Schizosaccharomyces pombe: one gene and its partner. The protein of the gene in region 1 interacts with the protein of each later gene in a biochemical or structural test. Each region holds a gene or a part of one and is shown on either strand. Other genes may lie near its edges. The genes, in order: tdh1 and rpb7.

Region 1 (16,392 bases):
AGGTTAGTGTTTACACAGGCAGAGAAGAAGAAATGAATTGAATAAAGAGTTAGTTATGTGCATTACATTTTGATAATAGTTTTTGAAGAGGAAACATATTTTTAATTTTTAATTTAACGAACCTATCATTTTAATTGTTTCATTTGGCAAATGCATTGATACTATTTATTGTAAACAATAGGTAATGAAGCGTAAAATAAGTCATAACATGAACATTCATTTATGAATATTTTAATTATTGACCAATATGTTTATAATATTTTTTGATAAATTATGTTAGTAGCGTATTCCTTAAACACATAAATAAACATTGTCACGATTTAATTTTTAACAATTGTGATATATTTTGGAAATACTTAGCGATGTAGCAACCGTGTATTTACTTTGCATATTGCTGTTCCCATTTCGATTTGAAAATGGTGTTTGAAAGATAGTCGATTCTTCATAAATCCATTTTTCCTGCATTTGAGCTAAGGTAATAAATATTGCTTATACCATCAATTTGCTAATAAGGAACAATCTTAACGAAATATCCCTTGAATTAGTTTTGATAGTACTTGCTTTTAAATAACAATAAGAGACTTATTTCATTTACCATACTCGCGAAGTTTCTTCTTTATTAGAACTTCAAATGTAGTTTACTTTTATTTACGGTTTTGCAGTCATATATTTTTATTTTCGAACTGGAATATTTCTATGATGCTTAAAATTGTTAGTAAATTTTTTAGATTTTTGCTAAAGAGAACAGAAAATCGATTCTCATTTAAAATCTAACTACACATTTATGCAAAAATTGTACTTGATCAAAGTAATTAATTTAGCGTACTGCGTTACAGCCATCTAATAGTAATGGTTACCACGAAATGAGCAAATAACCAGTTAACCAGAACGTCAAACATACAGTTCTACTACTACATACATAAGCTTTGGGTTCCTTGACAGCGGTTGTTGCAAACTGAATTTTTTTGTTTTGGATTATATATAATATACAATCAATTGATCTTGTTTAGTCTTGATTCGTGTGTGTTTACTTGAGTGCTGCAGTAATATATTACTAAATTGTACGAATTTGGTCAAAGAGAATCCGCTTTTTTATCAGTTTTTTATTTTTAAAATTTAATTTTGAATTATACTCTTTACAAGGAACGGTAGCATCTTTATAAGAAATCGAGCATTCAATTTCTATGTGAAAAAGTTGAATTCGTCTAAGCAAACAACCAACTAGTTTTTAAATTCTAACATTAGAAAGAATATTTTTCCTTGTTAATTATTCTATTTACAATTTTAAAGTTGGCACATATCTTTTTTTGATTGGTTGATTCTTTGATATTTTAGCTGCACTTACTTCTTGGTATGAAGTGAAATTTTGCTTTTTAAAATAGACATTTTCCCATTCCCGTTTTCTAAAAGATTCCTTTTTTTTGTTTACTCCGAAAATTTCAATACCTTTCTTACAAGCTACAATCCCATTTTGTTCCTTCCTTTTGATATATTGAAGCCATTTCAATTGTTTCTATATTATTTCAAACAATTTTACAAATATTGTTTAAATTGTATAATTATCAAAGCGCAGTCGCTAGCTTGGTGGGTATTAAATTGTTACCTTTTCGTTTGCTACAGGTAACTTGTGAACATTTCTGGTGCTGAATTTTCCTACACCCAAAAACCATTGAAAAATACATTTTTTAAATCATATCGGAAAGCTTGAATACACGCTCTTCTGATAATCCGCTCGATACATAAAGGATTTCTTCTTGCATTTACCTGGTTTTTGGATTGTCAGTTCGCTATGGAACCTTCAACACCACCTATGCGAGGGTTGTGTACTCCATCTACCCCAGAGTCTCCTGGGAGTTTTAAAGGAGTCATCGATGCTTCGTTAGAAGGTAATTCTTCTATTATGATAGATGAAATCCCTGAAAGCGATTTACCAGCACCTCAAGTTAGCACATTTCCACCTACACCTGCTAAAACTCCCAAAAAGCAATTACTACCAAATTTAATGCTACAAGATCGGAGTAATTCTTTAGAAAGATGTATGGAAGAAGACAGAGAACACAATCCTTTTCTCAGTTCATCTGATAACCAGCTTTTGTCAAGAAAGAAGAGAAAGCCTACTCCTCCTCCTTCTGATGGTTTGTACTATGTTTTTCGGGGGAAAAGAATCAAGAAATCCTTCAGGCCTGGAACTGATTTATCTACTTTTAAGCCCAAACTCTTGTTTGCTGACTCGGCGCCTTCTTCTAGTTCAGATAACCCAACATCCTCTGTAGACCTTAATGACTATTCTCAAATTGGCATTCTCCCTCCAAACCTGAATTCTATTGGGAATAAAATGTTCTCGTTAAAATCAAGGGTTCCATCTTCCTCGTCAGGTTCCTTTGTTGCTCCCCCACCGCAAATGCGTTTACCTGCGTATTCATCACCACAAAAATCACGATCTAATACAAAAGATGAAAACAGGCACAATTTATTACGATAACTTTTTTTCGCATTTTGTAATTGTGTTTGATACCGTTTATATAAATGCCCAATCACGAAATACTCTTCTGCCTTATTCATGATAATCGTTCGTTTGAACTTTTGGTAGTAGATCAGAACCTCCTATTCTCTATTCTTGATGAAAATGCATTTTGACAAACGCTGGTCGTTAGTCATTCATGGTAATATCACCACAATATCACCACGATTTTCTTAATTGAGTATCTATAATTACATTTCCCCATCTTTCCATTTGTGCCTATTCATATTCCATTTGGCAACTTAATTTTTTATCGTCCTCCCGTGTCTGCCCTGAGCCATTGCAACTTTTTTTAGCAACCTTTTACGGCATGCTTTGAAATATTATACGTTTAACTTATTTCCTAATTTCATCCACTGAGCTTTTACTTTAAGACTTATACTAATATTACATGGCTTTCACAATTTTCTTTTCTTTGTTCAGAGAGTGAATATATTCTGAAATGTTGTATTTATCGATTAGTTAATAATGCTATTCGATTTCTAAATTTTTTGCTGGTTTGGAAACTATAGTCTGTTATTCTCAATAACTAGTTTTATATTCAATTGTTTTATCCCAGTAATAAAAAGGTATTTTTATACCGCATATACAATACTATTCTAGGCTTCTTAGACAGTTATACACATTACGGTATTGCTGTTACATTGAGTTAATTTGTGGTTTGGTGATATAGTGAAGTTTACTAGCTGGTACTGAAATCCTACAAATGGATAACAAAACTGGTTCTAAGCGTATGAAAGGAGTCTTTGGGTAAAATTATAGTGTAATATCGTTTCGTTCATTGAAGTAATAATTAGGCCTAACCGACTCTACTTGACTAACATTTTTTCTTCACACCATGAAGCATGATGAATAATGTATTTATTTATGTTACCTGAGCGGTAAGATGATTTGTTTACATAATGTCACTTTTATTTACATTTGCACTGCAAAATGACAACAAGGAAGCCACTTACATCACAGTGAAGTTCGTTAAAAATTCGTAACTCTTATATTTACATGGTACCCGTGTTTCTCCCCTCTACCATACTGAGCATATAAAATAACACAAAAGTTAGTGAATCATTTTGTGGCATATCCGAACACTCCTTAGCTTTTTACGAAGCAAAACAAGAAACGATTAATAATATCATCTATCTTTTATTGAAAGTCTAGAGTTTGCATAAGTCGAGGCTGTTTACTCATAGGAACACAACATGATCGAAACAATCCCAACGAAACCATATGAGGGCCAACGCCCTGGTACATCAGGTCTTCGCAAGAAGGTTACTGTCTTTGAGCAACCAAATTACGTTGAGAACTTTGTTCAAGCTACGATGGATGTAGTTGAACCATCTGCCAAAGGAGCCCATCTAGTTGTCGGTGGTGATGGACGTTATTTCAACTTTCATGCCATCCAAGTCATTGCTGCTATAGCTGCTGGCAATGGTGTTGAGAAGATCATTGTTGGTACAAATGGATATCTGTCTACTCCCGCCGCTAGTCACATTATTAGGAAGTACAAGCTAACCGGCGGTATCATTTTGACCGCTTCTCATAATGCCGGTGGTCCCAAGAACGATTTCGGTATTAAATATAACCTTGGCAATGGTGGACCAGCACCTGAATCTGTTACTGAGAAAATTTATTCCATTACTAAAACCATATCCGAATACAAAATGGTAAAGATTCCTCCCTTGGATTTAACGACGACCGGTGTCCGTAGATATGGCCCATTGACGGTTGAAGTCATCGACCCGGTCAAGGATTATGTTCAGTTGATGAAAGAAATCTTTGACTTTGATTTGATTCGCAGCTTCCTATCCAAAAACCCCGATTTTACATTTGTCTTTGATGCTTTACATGGTATCACTGGTCCCTACGGTGAGGCTCTTTTCTGTAAGGAACTCGGTATGCCTTCATCAGTTTGTCAGAATTGCAAACCTCTTCCCGACTTTGGTGGTGGTCATCCTGACCCTAACCTCACTTACGCCAAGAGTTTGGTGGCTCGTGTTGATCGGGATAACATTGTAATGGGAGCAGCATCTGATGGTGATGGTGATCGTAACATGATTTATGGTGCCAATGCATTCGTCACACCTAGTGACAGTGTAGCCATCATTGCCCATCATGCCGAATTAATTCCATACTTCCGTGATGGAGGTGTTCATGGGTTTGCTCGTTCAATGCCCACATCTGGCGCCATTGACAGAGTTGGCAAGTATAAGGGAAAGAATGTGTATGAGGTTCCTACTGGTTGGAAGTTCTTCTGCAACTTGTTTGATGCTAAGCGTTTATCCATCTGCGGTGAAGAGTCTTTTGGAACCGGTAGTGATCACATTCGAGAGAAGGATGGCGTTTGGGGAATCTTGTGTTGGTTGAACATTCTTGCTGGATTGAACGCGCAAAACCCCAAGATCAAGACGTTGATCGATGTTAAGAAAGATTTTTACAATATTTATGGCCGTACATTCTACAGTCGTTATGATTATGAAGAGTTGGAAAATGAAGCTGCCGGTAAGGTGATGGATAGAATGCGTGCCATTGCCGATGATAAGAGCAAGGTTGGAGAGGCAGTTTTGCCTGGTTTTGTCGTTTCTGAAGCCGGTGATTTTGAGTATCATGATCCCATTGATGGTAGCGAAAGCAAGCATCAAGGATTATACATCAAATTTGAGAATGGTAGTAGAATTGTGACACGTTTGTCCGGTACTGGATCCAGCGGAGCCACGTTACGACTCTACATGGAGAAGCACGAATCAGATTCGAGCAAGTTTGATCTTGATGCTCAAGTTGCATTGAAGCCAGTGGTTCATGCAGCTCTTGAAATCTTGGCTCTGGAGGAATTGACTGGTCGTAAGGAGCCAACTGTCATTACTTAAAGATAGTATATTTTATCATTGAATTTATGAGGTTTATTAGCTGAATTAAAAAACTACTAGCGTTTTAACGAATTATTTGCACTGAATTCATGAAAATCATGAGCAATAACGAATTACATTTTTTTTTACTAAACCCCTTGAGGGTTTTTCTTCTCTTCTTTTTTTTTAATAATACTTTGTATTACTAGGAGAAATGAATAAAAGCATTTTTACCATGAACCAACTCGATTGTTTAAAACTCAAATATGCATAGAGAGAGAGACAGACAGTAGGATAGAGGGATTTATTATTGGGTTTGCATAATGGAAAAATGATCATAAAGTAAACATTAGCTTGTAGAACGGTTGGGAATTAAACGGAAAAAGTTTATTTCTAAAACAAGTGAGAACTTGAATATAGATTTTAAAAGGAAAACATTTATAAATATTTTCTTAATGACTATGCTACATGAAAAGGAATCTGAGGAGTTGAAAAAGATACTTAATATGGAGTTGGGCATACCGAATGATGTATGAGAAGAGGAATGCTCAGTACCGTTTGTCCTAACGTAAAGTATTAATAAATAAATGTTGAATGCGCGCGATAAAAATTAAGATACAAATTATTTTTACAAATGCATATTCCTATACCATTCGAATGAATTTCAATCCAAATACCCATTTTCAATAGAGTGTGCGGCATACAAAAGGAAAGAGACACACTACAGCGGAGCGGTCAAGTAACATTCCAGCAATTGCTAGTCAAGAATTTGGAGAGTCGTCTTACGATGGGTATGGAAAGTAATGAGGAAAATGCGTTACCAGCCCTTTAGGCAAAAGTCTAGTCATTTTAGAAAAAAGAGTTTAAACTTTTTTATGCTTGTTTGCAAGCAATTGCAACAATTCGCTGAAGTGGAAAGATGGATCAGCGGGAATTGATGAAAAACGTGTTACTCGGTGCGGAATCGAGATATGAAATTGAGTAAGAGTAGAAAGGAATTGATCGAGAAACGGAAAAACTAAGGGAAAAGAAACATGCTAGAGTTAGAAAAGCTAAAACGTTAATTTGAATGGTGTTCAAAGACCGTGGTTTTAAAGATGTAAAAGCAATGGGTAATGGGTATGTAGGTAGTAGTAGGTAAGTGTGAGGATGCGTTAGTGAGTATGTAGAGAAGAAAAAAATCGAAAGAAAAGAAAAGAAAAATATAATAAGAAAAAATAAAAGAAATAAACCATCTGAGGCGAAATGAAGGCGCATAAGTCGGGTAGATGCGTATACACTAAAAGTGCGAGTAGAGACTAGTTTACTCAATACATCTACGCAAACAAAAAGTACTTGCGAACCAAGTGTATGGAAAGGAGGAGAAAAAAGAAGAAACGTTACAAAAAAGAAGATGAAAAAGAACGTATATAGTTATGAAAGTGCGGGAAGAAAAAAAAAGGCAAACAGCAGACATGGAAGGAAAGCGGGTTATTACACTTTATACTATTATAGATATTCTATTATACAGGTTAAATAAGTAAAAGAGTAGATGGGTGGTGGTGGAATGGGAGTGTTGTAAGTAAAGCGATATTGCCAAGTACGTTTGGAGACTGGAGCAAGTGATGTATCCTGAAACTGTTTCATTATAATGCATATTTTATTTGTATTGTGTATATGTATATGTATGTGTATGTTTTGCTTTCCTATCAAAACGAAGAAGAGCGGATTTTCGAGGCAAGGCCAAGAAGCGCTTTGCCGATTACGTGACAATCGTACACTATGTTATTGATACAATTTTGCTTATGATGCACCATTATGCCTAGAAAAAAATAGAAGCGACGACGAAATGCCGACGATGTAAACGAAGTGTTTGACAACAGCCACCTTGTTAAGAAGGTAGAGAAAAGAGAGGAAACAGAGTGGGAGCGAGAGAGAAAAAAGAGGAAAAAAAGAGAATGGGCAAAACACCGAGTGTTAATAATGGAAAATGGAAAATGGGAATGTACAAGGTTAGAAGAAAGTTGGAAACAAAAAAGTTGAAAAAAAAAAGTTGGAAATGCAAGTAGATTGTGAGTTGAGTCAATGTTTATTACGAGTCGATACTCAGTTTGAATCGATGCTCATTTGAGTCCCTGCTCGTTCGTTGGTTTTGGGAATGAAATGGCAAGTCAAAAAATTACGCACAAGGAGAATATGAGATTCGTAACGAATGTCTCTTTTCGCTAAAAGACAAGAACTATGGTGGAGTAAATTCCTCAATTCACATCATGGAGCTTACGTGGAGCAATGCAGTGTATTAGTACGAGTGGTGCACTGTACGTCGACATGCCATGTTTGAGCAAGTCAATGCTAGCGTTGAAATTGCCTGTGGATTGCATTGCATGTATATGCCACACTGTTGGCGTAGCGTGAAATGATGATGAATGTTGATGAGATGACGGGAGAATTCAATTAGTAAGGATGTTTTGGCAGATGTGAGAAGGTTTGGACGCTGTAAAGTATGGAAAATCAAAATTCCTGAATTTTTGTAAACTCCCATACAAATACGATTACACATACATACAAAAATGCAAATAACAAAATATACACGCACGCATGCACACTAAATAAACAAACTGTGCGTCCATTCCTTTTATGCACAAACGTTGAAGCTCAGGACATCGCACCAACAATCACTCATCTCTTCTCTCTCTACCCACTTTCCACCCACACCCACAGTCTGCATCTGTTTGACGACTGTAGCTCAAGCATCAGTAGCAGCCGCTGTCATCCTCAACTGCTGCTGCTGATGCTGCTTGAATGTACGCATGATAGCAACGACGCACCGCTCTACCACTACTACCGAAGCGCCATCATCACCTCCTCACCTACCATCGCAATCGTCCTCTCGAAACTCTTCGACCGCTTTCACCCGGCTTCCTGCAGGTAACAATGCGCTCGGCGCTTGATTAAAAGAGGCCAGAGGCGATAAATGACTCAGGGTGCATTTGGCCTCGCTACGAAAGGACCCTGTCTTGTGATTTTTCCGTAGCCAATGGACAACCGCCTTGTCAACCTTTTGACTTTGGAATGTGCTAGCAATTCCTCCTTCCCCCTGACTTCAGGTGACAAGGCTTGCATCACGCTGAGGTAGGCGTCGGAAAAACTTTCCTCACAAGGCTGACGTCATGGAATGTGCAATCAAAGTCAGGAGCGGGAACGAGGCAGATTACCAACGAAGCAACGACCATCTCGGAACAACTTGCAAAGAAAGTCAAGGAAAGTTGGCACCACATCACGATCGCGCACCTTCTCCAATCACCTTGCTCCTTAGTTGTTCCGAATCGAGTGCGAGGCAATTGTGGTAAAGATAGTCGGGGGAAACCCTTACCCCATTCACACCACGGCTGATGGCTGCTGTGTGGGATGGAAAGGTATAAATAGAGGCAGGCGGTGCCTAGCATCGCTTCTGTATAGATCATTCATCCATAGTATTGATTTACACTTGATTCAAAATGGCAATTCCTAAGGTTGGTATTAACGGTTTCGGTCGTATTGGACGTATTGTCCTCCGTAACGCTTTGGTCGCTAAGACCATCCAAGTCGTTGCTATCAACGATCCTTTTATCGATCTTGAATACATGGCCTACATGTTCAAGTACGACTCTACCCACGGTCGCTTCGATGGCTCCGTCGAGATCAAGGATGGTAAGCTCGTCATTGATGGCAATGCCATCGATGTCCACAACGAGCGTGACCCCGCCGACATCAAGTGGTCTACCTCTGGTGCTGACTACGTTATCGAGTCCACCGGTGTCTTCACCACTCAAGAGACTGCCTCTGCTCACTTGAAGGGTGGTGCCAAGCGTGTCATCATCTCTGCTCCTTCCAAGGACGCCCCCATGTACGTTGTCGGTGTCAACGAGGAGAAGTTCAACCCCTCTGAGAAGGTTATCTCCAACGCTTCTTGCACCACCAACTGTTTGGCTCCCCTTGCCAAGGTCATCAACGACACCTTCGGTATCGAGGAGGGTCTCATGACCACTGTCCACGCTACCACTGCCACCCAAAAGACCGTTGACGGTCCCTCCAAGAAGGACTGGCGTGGTGGTCGTGGCGCCAGCGCCAACATCATCCCCTCCTCCACTGGTGCCGCCAAGGCCGTCGGTAAGGTTATTCCCGCTCTTAACGGTAAGCTTACCGGTATGGCTTTCCGTGTCCCTACCCCCGATGTTTCCGTTGTTGACTTGACCGTCAAGTTGGCCAAGCCTACCAACTACGAGGACATCAAGGCCGCCATCAAGGCTGCCTCTGAGGGCCCCATGAAGGGTGTGTTGGGTTACACCGAGGACGCTGTTGTCTCCACTGACTTCTGCGGTGACAACCACTCCTCCATCTTCGATGCCTCTGCCGGTATCCAACTTTCTCCTCAATTCGTCAAGCTCGTCTCTTGGTACGATAACGAATGGGGTTACTCCCGCCGTGTCGTTGACTTGGTTGCCTACACTGCCGCCAAGGACAACTAACTAGCTAATCATCCCGATGCTAAGAAACGTCGGGTGGGTGCTTAAAGGCAATGCAGGAAAGTCTTTTGGAGTTGTTTTCCCCGTTTTTTCTTTATGTTAGACAAAGGAGTCGTTGTCGTTTGCAGTGCGGGAGTTTTCTTTTTTAGATTTTCGCATTTTTTTTGTGGACGCGCACTCTATGTGAATAAATAGATGGATGACTTTTTTACAAATTTCCTCTGTTCTTTGATACCCTCCTTCTCATTCATTGTTGCATATATTTTTTTTAATTTTGTTGCAGTGATGAGATGGCTGAGCGTTTGTTTTTGAACTTATAAATACTTATAAATAAATTTTATGATTTTGATAAATACTTTTTTTCGTTTTGGTTTGTGATACGTATAGTTTGCCTGTCTCCTTTTGTAAATGATCTTCTTTTGTAGTCTTGTGTAATCTCTTTTTCATTTGGTCAACTTAAGTGAATTTTTTTTTGTCAGTTTCCTTGTAGGATATTATGTCAAAGTCTTATTTATACTATATATTATTGCTTTGGTGGTGAGTCGCATTTGTGGGGACGGTGTTACTTTACTGATGGATTTAGGTAGGAGGCATCCACTGTCCCCCATTTCGCTAGCTTAAGTTTAATATGAAGATGCACTTAAGCATGAACGCCCGTTTTGATCTTTTTCACTTGTACCGCGAAGAGCTTGTTTTACTGTTTTTCCGTCTGCATCCCGAGAACTAGTTGATCTCCCAATGCACACTTTAGACTTTATTCAAACCGAAGTCGGTTTTGTAATTTAAAAATTTTTACCCACTGTAAAGTACAAACAATTCATCGCTATGTTAGTTGTGTACGCTACTAGCGCATCACATGATTACATGTTAATCAACAAAAACGAAAATGTTTATTGTCAATCTAAAAATACATATGTCCGTTAAGACAAAAGTATGAGGCTGGATGGAATGAGCAATGGTAGCAAAAGGTTTCCGAAATGGTCATATCATTTTTTCAATTTTTGCTGATCTCAAATACCTCAACTTGTTTTATTCATATAAATAATTTGTTTTTGCATATAATCATAATAATCAAATTCATTACCATCTTTAACACAACAAACTTGCATGATATTTATTCTTGTTTGCTCTTACATTCGGCATCCAACGATCATGGGTAACTTGATACCTGTGGCTTAAGGAGCTTGTAGCATGCCATGATTCTGCTGGCAGACACCAAATTTGAGGCAATGCCACGCGCACAAAAAGGCTTACTCTTGGTTGAATGTGACCCAACCGTTAAGCAATTGATTTTGAACATGGACGAACAGTCTCCTGGTATCGTTATCGAAGAGATCGATGAAGAACGATTGTTAGTAAATGAAAGTCGACTAGAACAGGTGAAAGCAGAGTTAGAACGACGCCTTGAGGAAAATACATATCAAGTTGAAGAGTAAGAAGAGATTAGTATGACGAAAGTTTTCTTTGGATGATGAACTGAATGTTTCAGTCGATGGACGAACCTAATATTGTACGATTAATGGATCATTCAATGTCAACGATCTATGATCATTTTCTCAATTTTAAATTGTAAAAAAATTTTAAAATAATGCAAAAAAGAAATTAATTCTACCTTTTATTTGGATATGGGTGAAAAGGTTGGTTTATTTTTTAATGACTTGACGTTTGTGTCAAATTACATAACAGTACCCAAAACTCGTGTACCGATGGGCAAAAATTATGAAAGGAGCCAGCTGATTTTGTATTTTTTGAAAATAAGTTTTGAATATATTGTTAACTACGCCGAGCTATTCAGTAGTTGCTTGCAAGTCTTTATTTAATTTTTAGTATTGAATGAAAGTTTATACTATTTGAATATACTATACTATCTATATAATTAATATGTATAATAAGAGAAATGTTCTTCTTTGTCTAACGATATTTTTATGCATTCCTAATTGAAACTTGGTGGTGTTTCTAGAAAGATAGTTCAGTTCATACGCGTGATAACTTTTTCAACACCGGGAACTGGAAGAACATACAACAAGGAAAAGGCATAGTTTCATGCTTGTCCTATAAACAAATGAACAAGGAAAAAGATCAATAAAGATCAATTTTGCATATTCTAAACCATAGTGCTGGGAGGTGTTTCGGTCGTGATACCTGTTCCACCAAGCGTGGAACTTGAAGTAAAAGCCTGACCTTTAATACCGGCAAAGGTGTAACATAAACCAGTAAGAGCGAGCACAATGCCGGTGGCAATAAGACTAGTAGCCATAAAGATGCAACTGAGAAAGGTTACCACGGAAAATATAAAATAGACAAGCTAAAAGAGTTAATAAACACTGTATGTAAAAGACAGCAGGAAGGCAACAAAGGAATTAAAAATATCCAGAGGCATGCTTTTTCCCCTGTGTGCCTTTCTTAAAAGAAACTATAACAACTTACACCACGGTAATAATTGCTAGCAAAAGCATTTGTAAAAGCCTGGAATTTGTCTGATACAGGGCAAATACGAGAAAGGAAAGGAAGCTCAATAAAAATTAATAGAACGCCCTCAATGATAGTCAAAGCTGAGAAAAGAACGACAAGGGTAACGTGAAAAAGGTTGACAATACCTAGGATAATGCAAACTGAAGGTAGTAGGTTAGCAGATCTGCCTTTTAATGTTAAATGTCAATGGACCATAATTTGTGTGCAGTGAAATGAGAAGTAATCTGATTCAATAAACTTGATTGTCTGCAAAATAAAAAAATTGAGGGACATATACATTCTCATCAAACCAAAAATACTTTTGAACACTCACTTGCTACACCTTAACTCTTTATGCTCATAAACTCTCTTCACAGCTATCAGAAAGTACAAAGCAATCAATACAAGAAGAAGAGAATATCACAAACATTAAAAAGAATAACCAAATTACGCGATTGAAATTCTTTACATACGAAAAATTGAGAGAATTCCAAGCCACTGTGCATAAATACTACAATAAGTTAGTAACATTTCGCTGTTAAAGCAACTGATTTCGCATACGAAAAATTGTAGCTTTTGAGCTCTCCCAAAAACGTTGTCTTTGCTCTGTCAACTATTATAGACTCAAACATGTTGAAAAGTGTAGTTCAGAAATCGTCTTTGTTCTGATGCTGGTTAGATGTCAGTTCATGTCAGTTTATGATGTTTAGCTCGTTGTTATTTGGCGAAGCGAAATTAGTATTTGTTATTCTTTTTAATAACAAAGTGGCACGCAGCGTCAGGGTAACCCAAGTAACAGTTCGAATATGTACTATAGTTAGCTAGGTAAACAAACAATAGCCAGTTGTAAACAATCATTTCATCCATATTTCCGAATATGTAAGCTTTTTAATAAGTTATACAATCTCTATAGTTAATACGAGACTAGAAGTACTAATGAATTTAAGTTTTCTTTAATTTAAAATCAACTGTAGCGACAAAATTTCCTTTCCAAGAATTCACATCACTATTTAAGTAATTTGTTGAAATAGTACATTCAAAAAAACCACAATTATGTTTGATAACGTTAAGCTACCATTTCTTACTGCTAACCAGCAATACAACAAAGGATTGCTTTCAAAGCATTATGCAATTATTTTTTCCCTTAATAATTACATATTATCCAAAGAGTACACATTGCAAAAGATAAAGCAGAAACATCATTGCCCATTTTCTTCTTTGTATGCTGTTCTCGCAACAAAAATCATATCACTGATGAATACAGAAGCAAATAGATGAAATTATTTCAATGATTGTTAATTAAGGACGATAAAATAGCTGCTCTCCATTTTTTTGCTTTTCATTAGCACTCCTGCTTATTTTTTGGGTTTCTTCTCAGCGGGTGTCAAATCTGTAATCATTGTGGTTCACTAGAGGACAGTTACTCTTTTTCCTTGTATCCAGTTTTTTTATCAACGGTATTTATGGATTTCTTATTTTCTCTCTTGCTCATCTTTTCTGAGTAGACACTAGGTTCACTTGTTTTAGAAAGCGGTTTCGCGCCTCTTCTCCATTCTGGAGCTTGAGTTTTAGGGAAATTATACTTAAAGTCTTTTTTAGAATCTATTGAAGAATAAGTTTTATCCAGATGTTTAACAGAATCCTTCGAGATACGCTTTTCGCCAACACTATCATAATCATGCTTTAAACTCTCCGCTTTATGATCATTCTTCTCCTTTTTCTTGTTAGAAAGTGGTCTTTCTAATTTTTCTTTTTCTAATTCTGAAATTGGAGGCCTATCGATCGATTTAGAAGTTGAAGCATCGTTACTCAATTGCAGTTTCTTCATTTGCTTCTCTAAGGAAGCGAAGTTTCCTCTTCCTGGTCTATATCTTTTGATATCTTCAGGTGCAGTATATCCTGGTTTAACAGCTCTTTCACGCCTCACGCTACCATCTTTTCGCCTGCTCTCTGGAATTATCCATTTGCCATCAACCAATCGTGCTCTAAATAAAAACTTTAGTCAACTTAATAAAAAATTTAATAAGCCATACCCTGAAAAACTTCCATTGGTTTCCATAAATTAGTATATACTCTACTAACACGCTGGAAGTTCAAGTTTGGTTTTCGAAGTACTTATACTATTCCTACCTAAGAATTACTTTTCACAACAACACAGTCCTGTCATTACGGTATTTACACTAAAAGGACTTTCTCGTTCTATATGTTATTCTTTATTTTATCTATTTAAAAAGTTATTATTTGTAGCATGCCATGTTACAAGACGAGTCTAGCAGATCGTTGCCTAGAAGCGCATTGATTCGGAGACGGCTTTCATTATTTTTACAGTCTCATGCATTGATGTATTCATTTCTATGGTCAGAATCTGCTAAAAAATCCCTTCTGAATGAAGTCTTTTCTGCGCTTCTCGGATATGACCATACCTTGTGGAATACATTGCTTCCAGAGAGACCAACCATCGATGCCTCCTTTCTTCTCCGTCGTGCTCAAGGACACAGTGAGGGAGATGAGTATCGTCATGGAACCTGTGAGTCAAAATGTGGCCATATATTTCGAAAGGGTGAAGTATTCTATCGATGCAAAACGTGTAGTGTTGATAGCAATTCAGCGCTGTGCGTGAAATGTTTTCGTGCAACTAGTCATAAGGATCATGAAACTTCGTTTACAGTTAGTGCCGGTAGCGGCGGTTGTTGTGATTGTGGTAATGCAGCTGCATGGATTGGGGATGTGAGTTGCAAAATACATTCACATGAAGAAGATGCTACGATTAGCAACGATATGATAGACGAAATTCCGGAAAAATTAGAAAACAGTATCCAAACAACAATTGATTGTGTTCTTGACTTCGTACTGGATGTTTTTTCCTGTAGTCCTGAAAATCTCAAAAAAATGCCCACCTTGGAATCGATTTTGCAGGATGAGAAAACTTCGCGTCTCAGTGAAAATAAATACGGCGATATTGATGATTCTTGCAATATGTATTCGTTAGTACTGTGGAATGATGAAAAACACTCCTTCAAGCAATTTTATGAACAAATTACTACTGCATTAGAATTGCCGAATAACGTTTTTGGAAAGAAAATGGCAAATATTATTAATGACATCGGTAGAGCTTGCATCGTTACTGAGACTAATATAAAAGAGCTTCTTAAAATTGGTCAAAAGCTTGCCCAGATCAATCTAGCTGTTTCAATTCGTTCTATGCGTGACATTTTTAGAGAAGAATCTTGTGCTGTTTTACTAGAATGGCTTGCTGATATAGCAGGAAGCAGTATTTGTGGGAAAAGAAATTATTTTAGCTCTGTTATATGCAAAGAACTTGTTCGACCTTGGAATTGCGGACTTCATAATTCTGATCTTACTTTTAGGCTCTCCCTTAGAAGTCTTGCTCTTCCTGAAATTGTGGCCATTGACAGTCCTGATATATTTTTGAATGAAGATCACATTAACTCGTCAGGTCCATCTGACACTTCTAGTCATATGCTAGAAACTGACGAGTCTTCTATTCATTCTAGACATTGGTATCCTTCTAATTCTCTTCCGGATGTCCTTTCGTATGCCTCCAGAGTAAGATTTGATTATTTTTTTCTTTACGATTTAAAACTTTGGAAGAGCTTGCGTTACAAATTACAGGAGTTGTACTTGGGATACTTTATCACTCAGCCTGGATTTAAGGAAATTATGGGAGCCAGGATTGCCATTTCTTATAGAAGGTTGGCAGAACTTTTTCTTCTGTTGGACCGTGAACCTGAACACTCAGTCATTTTTTTTTCAATGCAAATATTTACCGTGGCAGACGTTGCCAAACTGTTGGTTACAGAGTATGATTTCTTGACTACAATTAATGCAACTTTGTACACTTTTTTCACCTATAAAAAACTTAATACGCCGAACTATGTCGATCAGCATGCCATGATAAGAACAGATTCGGCTGCCTTTCATTCACGTAGGTATATTCACATTTTCCATCACATTCAATTTATGTTAAGCATTCCATGTGTTGCTGAAATTGTTCGTGAAGACCTTAAATTTTTGAAGCAATATGCCGATTTTTTTAACCTGTTTCAAGGTATGTGCCCCTATACACGAGCAGTAT
Region 2 (12,398 bases), on another chromosome or scaffold:
ATCAATTTGACTTGGTGTGTTTGAAATTGTTTCGTCCGCCACTGACATTTAAAAATCTCTAAAAAATGGTTGCGTTCACTCCTGAAGAGGTCCGTAATTTGATGGGAAAACCATCCAATGTCCGTAACATGTCTGTGATTGCTCACGTCGATCACGGCAAGTCTACGTTGACTGATTCTTTGGTTCAAAAGGCCGGTATTATTTCTGCTGCCAAGGCTGGTGATGCTCGTTTCATGGATACTCGTGCTGACGAACAAGAGCGTGGTGTTACCATCAAGTCTACTGCCATTTCCTTGTTTGCTGAAATGACTGACGATGATATGAAGGATATGAAGGAGCCTGCTGATGGTACTGACTTCTTGGTTAACTTGATTGACTCTCCCGGTCACGTTGACTTTTCTTCTGAGGTTACTGCCGCTCTTCGTGTCACTGACGGTGCTTTGGTCGTTGTTGATACCATTGAGGGTGTCTGTGTCCAAACCGAGACTGTGCTCCGTCAAGCTTTGGGTGAACGTATTAGACCAGTTGTTGTTGTTAACAAAGTTGACCGTGCTTTGCTCGAACTTCAAATTTCTCAAGAAGAGCTTTATCAAAATTTTGCTCGTGTCGTTGAATCTGTTAACGTCGTTATTTCTACTTATTACGACAAGGTCCTTGGCGACTGCCAAGTTTTCCCTGACAAGGGTACTGTAGCTTTTGCTTCCGGTCTTCATGGTTGGGCTTTCACTGTCCGTCAATTTGCCAACCGTTATGCTAAGAAGTTTGGTATTGACCGTAACAAGATGATGCAACGTCTTTGGGGTGAAAACTACTTCAACCCTAAGACCAAGAAATGGTCCAAGTCTGCTACCGATGCTAACGGTAACTCTAACCAACGTGCTTTCAACATGTTCATCTTGGATCCCATTTATCGTATTTTCGATGCTGTTATGAACAGCCGCAAAGACGAGGTCTTCACTCTTTTGAGTAAGCTCGAGGTTACCATCAAGCCCGATGAGAAGGAGCTTGAGGGTAAGGCTCTCTTGAAGGTCGTTATGCGCAAGTTCTTGCCTGCTGCTGATGCCCTTATGGAAATGATTGTCCTTCATCTTCCTTCTCCTAAGACTGCTCAACAATATCGTGCTGAGACTTTGTATGAAGGTCCCATGGACGACGAGTGTGCTGTTGGTATCCGTAACTGTGATGCCAATGCTCCTCTTATGATCTACGTTTCTAAGATGGTTCCCACATCTGATCGTGGTCGTTTCTATGCTTTTGGTCGTGTCTTCTCCGGTACTGTCCGTTCTGGTTTGAAGGTCCGCATTCAAGGCCCTAACTATGTTCCCGGTAAGAAGGACGATCTCTTCATCAAGGCTATCCAACGTACCGTCCTTATGATGGGTTCCAGAATTGAGCCTATTGAGGATTGTCCTGCTGGTAACATTATTGGTTTGGTCGGTGTTGATCAATTTTTGGTCAAATCTGGTACTTTGACCACTTCCGAAGTTGCCCACAACATGAAGGTTATGAAGTTTTCCGTCTCCCCAGTCGTCCAAGTCGCTGTTGAGGTTAAGAACGGTAATGATTTGCCTAAACTTGTTGAAGGTCTTAAGCGTCTTTCCAAATCCGACCCTTGTGTTTTGTGTACCACCAGTGAATCTGGTGAACACATTGTTGCTGGTGCTGGTGAGCTCCACTTGGAGATTTGCTTGAAGGATTTGCAAGAAGACCATGCTGGTATCCCTCTTAAGATTTCTCCTCCCGTCGTTTCTTACCGTGAGTCCGTTAGCGAGCCCTCTAGCATGACTGCTCTCTCTAAGTCTCCCAACAAGCACAACCGTATCTTCATGACTGCTGAGCCCATGAGTGAAGAACTCTCTGTCGCCATTGAGACTGGTCACGTCAATCCTCGTGATGATTTCAAGGTTCGTGCTCGTATCATGGCTGACGAGTTTGGATGGGATGTCACTGATGCTCGTAAGATTTGGTGTTTCGGTCCTGACACCACTGGTGCCAATGTTGTTGTTGATCAAACCAAGGCTGTTGCTTACTTAAACGAAATCAAGGATTCCGTTGTTGCTGCTTTTGCCTGGGCTTCCAAGGAGGGTCCCATGTTTGAGGAGAACTTGCGTTCTTGCCGTTTCAACATTCTTGATGTTGTTTTGCACGCTGATGCTATTCACCGTGGTGGTGGTCAAATTATTCCTACTGCTCGTCGTGTCGTCTACGCTTCTACCCTTTTGGCTTCTCCCATCATCCAGGAGCCCGTTTTCTTGGTCGAAATCCAAGTTTCCGAAAACGCTATGGGTGGTATTTACTCTGTCCTTAACAAGAAGCGTGGTCATGTCTTTTCTGAGGAGCAACGTGTTGGTACTCCCTTGTACAACATCAAGGCTTACCTTCCCGTCAACGAGTCTTTCGGTTTCACTGGTGAACTTCGTCAAGCTACTGCTGGTCAAGCTTTCCCTCAATTGGTATTTGACCATTGGTCTCCCATGTCTGGTGATCCATTGGATCCTACTTCTAAACCTGGTCAAATTGTTTGCGAAGCTCGTAAGCGTAAGGGTCTTAAGGAAAATGTTCCCGACTACACTGAATATTATGACCGCCTTTAAAGTATATAGTTTTGGTTTTTACTATTTAATACAGGTTATTTAAAAACTCGATTCTTAATCAGCTGTGTTGAGGATTTTTAGCCTTGCGTTAATTTTGTAGCGTTGATTAGCTAAAAAAATGTGAATTAATAAACTTAAACCTTTATAAAATACTCGGCAATCCTGTAGATAAACGTTTCTTGTGTAAAATACACCTATAATTATGAAAATCGCAAGGAAGTCGTTTCATATTTAGTTTTCAATCCGCTTTCGACACTACTATTATTCTACAGTGTTTCAATATGAGACCGATTATATAACTTAACAAGGGCGCCCTATTTGTTATGCTAAATCCTGTTACTGAATTTAAACGCCGTTCTGTGTAGCGCCAAAAACTCCAACTTATTTTAAGGAATCTTAAGGGAAAGTAAAACTGGCCAGATATTGGTGTACTCTTGATTCATTATGACAGCCAGTTATACACTGTGACTTTAATCTCCAACATCTGTCACGAACCAAGCAGTGATAAGACCTTTTTTTTTTTGACTATTCGTTCTCTTTTGGTCTAGCAATATTTATTAATTACGGAAACTATTTATTTTTTGGTTATCGGATTAACCAGTTATTTATATAAAGCAGAAACTACACCTTATTTTGATTGTTTAAGCAGAAACAATGTCTTCGCAGGCTGAGCCCTCTAAGGGTGCTAGCAATGCCGACCCGAATGAAAAGGTTGAAAAAATGCATCTTCCTACTGATACAGCTGGTGGTGGTGTTAAGGTGAAAGTTAAGGAACAAGAAGCTTCACCATCAGACAAGAATAACTTAAACCCACAATCAGCTGGAGTTTCTGAGGTTCAAGTACAGGATGATACTGGAGCCCGTGGCTCAGGTGCTAGAGACTTAAAGGTCCCTAAACAAATGCAAGCACCCAAATCATCTGAAGAGAAATCAGACGTTGATGGAGTGCCCACTCGTCCTGTTAGCGAGAGGGAATTAAGGAAAAGGGATGCGATGCAATTCATTCAAAGGCACCAAAAGGTTAGGAACATTTTGGCACAATACTGTCCTTGGCTGACTGATGAACGTTTACAATTATGCATTGAGCTTAAAATTCTCTTTATGCAACATTTCCAGGATTCAAGGCTTGTTTTGTATACGGCAGTCATGTCATTTTTGTTTGGTTATTTGCGCTTCGGATTTTTGAGTCTTTTCATTATTATGGCTGTTTGTATCCAGTACTACCGAATTTGCGATCGACGTGTTAAAGTCAATTTCAAAGACGACTATACGAGATATCTTTCTACACGAAAATTAGAAAATGATAGCGAAACTGTCACTTGGCTAAACACCTTTTTACAACAATTTTGGTATATTTTTGAACCTTCTTTAAGTGAGAGAATAACGGAAATTACGGATCAGATTCTTTCAGAAAATGTCCCCAGCTTTATTGACTCCATGGCTCTCTCCGAATTTACTCTGGGAACCAAATCACCGAGAATGGGATTTATCCGTAGTTACCCTAAAACAGAGGAAGACACTGTTATGATGGATTTGAGATTAGCATTTAGTCCAAATGATATTAGTGACTTAACGGGTCGTGAGATTGCTGCTTGCATCAAACCTAAGATTGCTCTTGATTTGAAAATAGGAAAAAGTATTGCTTCAGCTAAAATGCCTGTTTTAATTGAGGACCTTTCCTTCACTGGTAACCTTCGTGTTAAAGTAAAGCTTATTGATAAATACCCGTATGCCAAGACTGTCGGTTTGACTTTTACCGAGAAACCTGTTTTCTCTTACATTCTTAAACCTCTCGGAGGTGATAAGTTTGGTTTTGATATTGGCAACATTCCGGGTCTTACTACGTTTATCACCGAACAGATACATAACACGTTGGGCCCAATGATGTACAGTCCCAATGTGTATGAGCTGGATATCGAATCTATGATGGGTGCCGCTGGCTTAAATACTGCTCTCGGAGCCGTAGAATTTAAGTTACGCAAGGGAGATGGTTTTAAAGACGGTTTAGGTGGAGCTGTTGATCCATATGTTGTTATAAAAAATTCAGCGGATCGTGTTATTGGTAAATCTAAAGTGGCTCACAACACTGGTTCGCCGGTATTCAACGAAACTTTTTATTCCGTTTTGAATTCGTTTTCAGAGAACCTGAATTTGGAGGTATATGATTTTAACGATATTCGAAGTGACAAACTTCTGGGCAGTGCTGTACTACCATTAGCTACTCTGGAAGCTATGCCTGTGACAAATGATGCGTTTGTAGAATTGACTTTAAAAGGCAAGACTGTTGGTCGTTTAAATTATGACATGAAATTCCATGCAGTTGTGCCTGATTCTGGCGAAGAAATTACTAAAGTCGATGGCCCTGGTGTTCTGCAATTTACTGTGCATCAATGCAAAGAGCTTAGCAATGATCCATCGAAACGACCTACCGCTTATGCCAAATTGATTATTAACAATAAAGAAGTCTATACGACCAGAAAGATTAAGAAAAACAATAATCCATCATGGGAAGAATCCTTTGGTACTCTTCTTCCAGAAGGGAAGAATGCTACTCTGGGTGTTCAAATATTCACGGAGGAATCAGAGCATCCTTTTGGGACCGCTAATGTATCTTTGCAGGACTTGTTTGCTGCTACTAAGACGGGTCTTTTATGGTTTCCATTACAACATGCTCCATCCGGTAGAGTACGTATGTCTGTTATGTGGAAACCTGCTCAGTTAAATAACGACAGTATTTCTTCGATGGCTCTTGCTACTCCCATCGGTGCAATTCGTATCCATTTACGTTCGGCGAATAATTTGCACTCTAAGATTCCTGGTAAAAAATGTGATTCTTACGCACGCATCATGTCCCACAATACGAAACAGTTTAGGACAGTGGTCATTGCTAGCAATGTAAATCCGTTTTGGGATGAATACATGTATGCACCCGTAATTACCAAACATGACATCTTCTTTTTACAAGTGATGAATTACAATTCATCTGGTGAAGACAAACTCATTGGACAGACCCCTATCAACATATCAAATTTTATCAATCAAGGCGAAAATGGTGCTTTAATGGAATACCATGACCCTCGAGAACTAACTGTACCTTTGTCCTCTACCCGGGGTATAAAGGGTAATGCAACAATAACTTTCAAATGTGACTTTTTCCCATCCGCTGTCACAACCTCGCTCAGCCCTGATGTGACACCCGCTCCTAAAGCTTCATCAACTGTTGCAACTGATAAAGTAAATATCGAAGTGCTTCCGGAAAGCCAAAAAACGCCTACAGCAGTCGACAACACTTCAACTTCTCGAGGGTCTACGTCTGTTAAAACCTCAAAACCAAAGAAGATTTCAGAACTGCTTATGCCGTCTGAAGCTGTAAATGCAGCTTTAGACTTTGAATCTGGCTTCATGGGTTTCGACATAATTTCGTATAAAATAGCTAAGCCAGCCCAAGAGTTAGCTATATTTTTAGACGATTTACCTCATCATATTTTCTTATCATCTGCCTTAAACGTCACCGGTGGTGCTACCCTGCATGAGTACGGCAATACTTTCATCAGACAACTTGAATATTCTCAATGTACTTTCAAGCTGCTAGATGGTGATAAGGAGGTTGGTAGCAAAACTATGCTGAGTCGCGATTTAATTAGTAAAGGCGCTACTAAACCTCTGGAAATTGCATTTCCTGATGGTGCTTCGATTTTGGTCGCTTTTAGGCTAACTCCTGTTCCTGTGAAACTTGAGGAAGTTGAAATGTACGAAAATATGGGAGAAATGACCGTCGATGTCATAAAAGCCACGGATCTCCCTGCCGCAGATTCCAATGGAAAGTCTGATCCTTTCGTTGTTTTCGAGTTGCAAGGAGAAGAAGTGTACCGGACTAAAACGCACAAGCGGACGTTAAATCCTACTTTTAATGAAAGTTTCGAGGTCGAACTTCCTTGCAAGCAAACCTGTAATTTTGTTGCTAATGTTTTTGATTGGGATTTTGGTAACAAGGACGATCATTTGGGCTCTTGTGTAATCGACTGCAAGCTTCTTCAACAGCAACAACAGACTAACTATGAAATTCCTTTGGATAGCAAACAAGGAGTTCTTTATCTTCGTATAACTCTGAGCCCAAAATGGGTCCTTCGTTCCAAACGCGCCGGAAATTCTTCTCTTGTCGAAGGAATTCTTGGACAGACTGCTTCGATTGTTGGTATGCCTCTTAAAGGCATTAGTACTGTAGGTAATGTTGCTGTTGATGGGGTTGCCTCGGTGGCTAACCTTACGAACAAAATGCGAAAAGGAATAAGCCGTGGTTTTAAAGGAATTCATCACGAGAAGGCAAAGTGACTTTCCATTCTGTTATTTATTAGTTCTTTATTACAATTCGGTTTTCGCATTCTGACTTATTTGAGTAATATATTATCATTATGTTAAATGCATACTTTGATTATAAGGTATTTGAATATTTTCATGGTTTTCTATTTACCGAAGAACGATAAAGACTTATGCACTCCTAATAGATAAAATGCTAGCCCAAGATTGTATTCATAAGGAAATCGTCGATTGATATTGCGATTATATACAATAATTAGGGAAATTCTATTGTTGTGTAAAGGGTATATAAAGTTAAAATTTTTTTTTAAAGATATTGCGCAGCTTTTAGCCATAACATTACCACAGAATAGAGCCAAAATTTAGATCGATAAACGTTGGTATGCGCTTTTACAACTACATGAATAAACTTTGAGACCTAGAAAGGAACTTAATAATAACAGTATACGCGATGGTTAGCATTGAATTAATGAACATGAGAAATAAAAGACAAATTAAAATTTTATCTTTTTAAAGAACGCCTAGATAATCCTCTTTCATTGTTGCAATGGCAAACTAGATATTATGTTAGTAACACGATTAATTAAGCAAAATAAATATTGTGAACTATTGGGAAACTTACAATTTCGGTTGCATCAGTCCTTGTACCGACAATCTTAAGTCTGACATTCGACCCCTTTTCAATAACTTGATCCTCACCAGAATAATTAGGAGGGTTTGCAGTAGGGTCAAACTTCATATCTGGAGGCACCAAATGAGATGAGACAAAGACATTTAATGGTCCTATATTTGCGAAGAATCCCATTTTATTTACTGTTGTAACAATTGCATCGACCACTTCCCCACGAAATGGTCTCCATAACACTGCACGATACTTTACCTCAAATTCGGCAAACCCTTGCCCAGGAACTACCCTCCCTTTATCAATATCTATAGTATTACTGTCCAAAACGCAAATTATATAGCCATATTGACCTGAGCATGTGCCTTCCACGTCCGCCAACAATTTTGCCTTTAAATAGTCCTGCATTCTAGGACCGAAGTAACTGGGATGCAGAGAAATCGTTAACGAAAGCTCTTTGAGGAAGAAAGGCATTGTATCGATAAGTTAATGCAGAAAAGCCCCAATTCAACTCGATCGGTCGATGCGTATTAAAACTGTAAAATTTTGGTTCAAAATAGGGCAAAAATGATGAACATTAAAAAAAAAAACTTTAAATGAGCTTAGCTCTTTTTATTAAATTAAATTATCCCAATTTTTCAGCGGTTTTCGCAATTGCTTGATATATGCTGAGCGTTCGAGGATTTACGAAGTCCCAGTATCATGGGATAGCGCTTATAGAAATATCCCAAATTTTATATGCCTTTCACCTTGCTACTGAGAAGGATTTTAACAAGTGAATATTATTTTATCTCTAATAAGCATCTATTACGTCCTATAAAAAGCTCACTTACACTATTCCAAATTAATAAATCAAATATGCCAAGAATGAATCAATCATTGAGTCTATGTAAAATATTCATAACAAGTAATCAAATTGAAAATGGTGATAAATATTGTATACTGACCGAAGAAAATTGACATCCTTGCCCATCAGTGAGTAATGCAATTACTCATCAGTTTGTTCAAATGAATATTTATCTAAGCTTGTACAGATAAGTAGGTGTAACCCACTTATATAATTGTTCTTAATTACGAAGAACAATTTCCTTCGGCTTGTTGTCACGGAAGTATTTTTTCATAAGCTCTTCAATAATCCAACAAGCCGCGTAATCTACAACCATTGTGGCTAACAGTTGTATCTGGAAATTATAAGCCATTTTAACTAACTGAAGTTTTGCGTTGAGTTCAGGCGAAAACTCAGTTACACCAGCAATAGCGACAAAGGCAATGCCCAAAAGGCCATAGTACATTCCTTTATTTTCACTTAAAGCTTCACGGAAAGGACGGCCCTGATAATTGATAGCAAACGTTGAGACTTGTTGAATAAGTTGAAGCAAATAAATGGCAGTATTCAACAAAGAAGGCTTGAAGGTTTCTTCTAAATCCACCTTTTCTAAAGGATCCTCATACAGATAAACGACACGAGTTATATAGATAAGGGTAACGATATGAATAGCAAACTGACCTAAAACAGAACCAATTATGTAAGTGTTAAAAATTCCAGCTTGAGGCCTTTCTTTTGAAAGAGTTTCAAGTGGACGAGCCCGTGAAACACAGTAAAAACAAACAGACATTAACATTCCCGAAATAGTGTATTGAGTATCACCAAATTTAATTCCATCCAGATGAAGTACTGACAACGAGTAAGCAGTGATCAAACAGTTGAGAGCCAAAATCTTATGCATTTGAACGAGGGCAACTAAAGTACAACGACCTTGACGCACAATGTTGGTTATCGAAGAAACTACAGCTAATTTAGAAGTAAATGGTGCAGCAACAGAAGCGTCTCCTAGCTTAAGTTTCGGTGCCTCATCATCAGAAGCGTTTGCTAAAGTGTCAAACATCTTGTTAGCCAGATTTGCCCGTCTTTCAGCAGCTTTCTCAGCTTCCGTTAATTGAACATCACTAGCTTTCTTAGTTTCCAAATCTTCCAGGACCTTATTTAAGCCTTCTTGAGTCTTTTCACGATGAGGGTTGTTAGGACCAGGAGGGAAAGCATGGCAAAGTGCAGGTGGAACAGGAGGAGTTGGAAGATTAAATCTTTTAGCAAGTTGAATTTGCTTTTCATAAACGCCCATCAACTTCTGATTACGAGCTCTCTCTTGCATTTCAAGCATATCTTCTTCCGAAGCATTTAATAAAGCTACACCAACGTGTGCTTGTTTAAGAGCACCCACATCATTGGTACCATCACCACACATAAGAGTTATATATCCATTGTGTTTCAAAGTTGAGATCATGAATTCTTTTTGAGAAGGAGAAACACGCGCATAAACCCAAGCGTGAGTAAAAATTGACATAATAACGTCCGGATTGATAATTTGAGACAAAGCACGACCGGTAATACAAAGATCATACTTTTCGTACAACGAAGCTTCCAACGATTTATGAGGATTCATGGGTAAATTGATTGTATCATCTGTGCTCTTCCACTCTAAAATCTTTTCATTCTCATGCTTAATATCCAATACGAGGGTTGGCTTTTCAACAATACCAACTTGTTCAGCTACATATACGGCGGTCAGAGGATTGTCACCAGTTATCATCATGCAACGATGCGAAGAATTGTTTAGCATTTGCACAGTTTGCCTAGCATCCTCTTTAAGAGGAGAAGTAAAAATAAGGAATCCCGCAAATACAAGGTCAGACTCAATAGATTCACGGCTCAAATCAGAAACTTGATTCTCAGGGATATAATTTTTAAAATATTTATAACCTAGGGCGAGTACTCGAGACCCTTTACGACCATAATCTTTATAAATTTTTTCATAATCCTTAGGGACCTCCCGCAACATAGTAGCAATCACTTCAGGGGCTCCTTTTACCGAAACAAAAGTTTTAAAACTTCCTCCAGACACTCTTACGTTGGAAACAGAAGACTGTCTTTTTAAAGCTGAAGAAAATTGGAAGTTTCGAATGATTTGAACTTTACCTTTATAAAAAACAGAACCTTCAGGTGCTGAAACAAAATTCTTTTTCTCAATAGACCAACCCAAGTTTTCAACCGTAGCCTTTTCCATGGGGTCACCAACGACTTTGGGAGTTTCACCTTCTTGTTCCAGCAAAACTAAGGTATGTGCCGTAGCAATTGCCAGTATCGCATCGTTAGAAGCATCGCTTAATTTTTCAAGACTATAAGGATCCTTTCTATTAACTCCAGCAATACCTTGAACAACCATATGCTCTTCAGTTAAGGTACCCGTCTTATCAAAGCAACAGATATCCAAATGACCGGAGAGTGGTATACGAAATGGCTCAGTACAATAAATATAATATTTAGAAAGAGCACCTAATGAGGCATTGACAGCCATAGAAAGCTCCATAGGGAGTTCAGAAGGGACAACAGAAGTAATAATCATAACACAATCGAGCATTAATTTGTATCTGCTACGCTCAGTTTTACTGCCGACATGCCAAACATATCCAGAGGCTGCAATAGCGAACACTAGCAAAAATAGAATAAAGTAAAGACTTTCTCGATTGTTTGCAGTGACCTTTTCCGAAGAAAATACCATGGTACGTACCAAAGAACCCTGACTTGTTTCAAATCCGGTACGAAGAACAATTGCAGGAACACCATTATCTGGAGTCTTAAGTTTGCAAAACGGCGATTGAGTTACTTGAAGAACCCTAGTTCCTCCAAACAAAACAGCGTTTTTGTCAAGCTCATCGACATCAATAACAGCTTCTTCGGGGCGCAACTCAATAGATTCCTTAACCAGAGGTGTAGATTCTCCAGAAAGCATAGCCTCATTTACTACACAAGAACCTGAAAGTAAAAGAAGATCACATGGAAGCCCACTGTCTTCCTTATTGTGAAGGACAGATACGACATCATTTGGAAGCAAATCTTCGGTAGAGATAGGGAACCAATGCTTATTGCGATAAACTTGAATTTCATAAGGTTTAATGCTCATAGTACGAAATTCGGTCAATGTACGTTGACGTTGCCATACTACTGAACATTCAAGAGCAATAATCATGAACATTGAGAAAAGAGAAAAGTACCAGTAGTCATCAAGACACCACAAAACACAGCAAAAAATTTGGAAGACAAAAAATGGAGCAACTGCGTGCTCCTTGAATAAAGTACCAAAGGTAGGAATAGGTATATCGAAGCAATTTTTACCATAACGATAAAGAAATATTTCAGATTGAATATTGGTAAGCCCTGTACTTTTTTTGAGAGTCCCAATAGTTGAAGGTTCATCCATTGGAAAAGTTATATTTGCGAAGCATCCTTTTTCTGGTTCATAGATAAACCGTTTACGTTGAAAAGAGAAGCTGTACTGAATCGTTTGTGAGTCAGGAAGAACCAACTTAGTGATTGGCTCCACACTAGATGATTCTCCTATTTTACTAGGAGTAACAAGGATATGAGTAGCTTGTTCGACCTTGTCAGTTTTTCGACAAGTCATGAGACAGTAAACCTTCGTGTTCCATTCACCAGCTAGCCAGAATAATGCATGAATAGTACCGACAGCAATGTATGTTAAATAACGAACCTCTTCAGAATAGAGTTTGTTTTGATATACATATCCAATATAGGGGTACACAAATAATGCAAAAGGCCACACATATAAATGAAAAAATGTGGGCAACTTTATATAAAGTTGCCCAGAACTTATGTCTGGGCTAGTAATTAAAGCCTTACTCCCCATATAATTCCTTTTTCTAGATAACTGAAGCAATTACTACTTACAGTCAGTATTCTAATGTGGTGTGTTGGGCAGGTTTTGGTACAGCACAATTTCAGTATCGCTCTTATATTTCTGTACACCAACAAGCATAACGATTTCGAAGGAATATACATTACTGTTTCC

Evidence for each region.
Region 2: the proteins of tdh1 (region 1) and rpb7 form a complex in vitro, tested with the Schizosaccharomyces pombe proteins (one study listed by BioGRID).

The regions. Positions count from the first base shown.
Region 1 is NC_003423.3:2,798,800-2,815,191, forward strand, and holds tdh1 (glyceraldehyde-3-phosphate dehydrogenase Tdh1), read left to right. Parts: upstream 1-8,795; 5' UTR 8,796-8,837; coding exon 8,838-9,848; 3' UTR 9,849-10,252; downstream 10,253-16,392. Other genes in the region: CDK inhibitor Rum1, read left to right, coding at 1,790-2,482; pgm1 (phosphoglucomutase), read left to right, coding at 3,718-5,382; transcription factor TFIIH complex subunit Tfb5, read left to right, coding at 11,075-11,281; SPOM_SPBC32F12.12C (golgi membrane protein involved in vesicle-mediated transport), read right to left, coding at 11,950-12,150, 12,273-12,457, 12,770-12,807, 12,858-12,928; protein mni1, read right to left, coding at 13,717-14,281, 14,330-14,355; N-end-recognizing protein, UBR ubiquitin-protein ligase E3 Ubr1, read left to right, coding at 14,550-16,392.
Region 2 is NC_003424.3:2,897,897-2,910,294, reverse strand, and holds rpb7 (DNA-directed RNA polymerase complex II subunit Rpb7), read right to left. Parts: upstream 8,212-12,398; 5' UTR 8,008-8,211; coding exon 7,534-8,007; exon of another isoform or gene 7,467-7,533; coding exon 7,422-7,466; 3' UTR 7,162-7,421; downstream 1-7,161. Other genes in the region: translation elongation factor 2 eft201, read left to right, coding at 66-2,594; tcb3 (tricalbin), read left to right, coding at 3,249-6,926; P-type calcium transport ATPase Cta4, read right to left, coding at 8,601-12,236.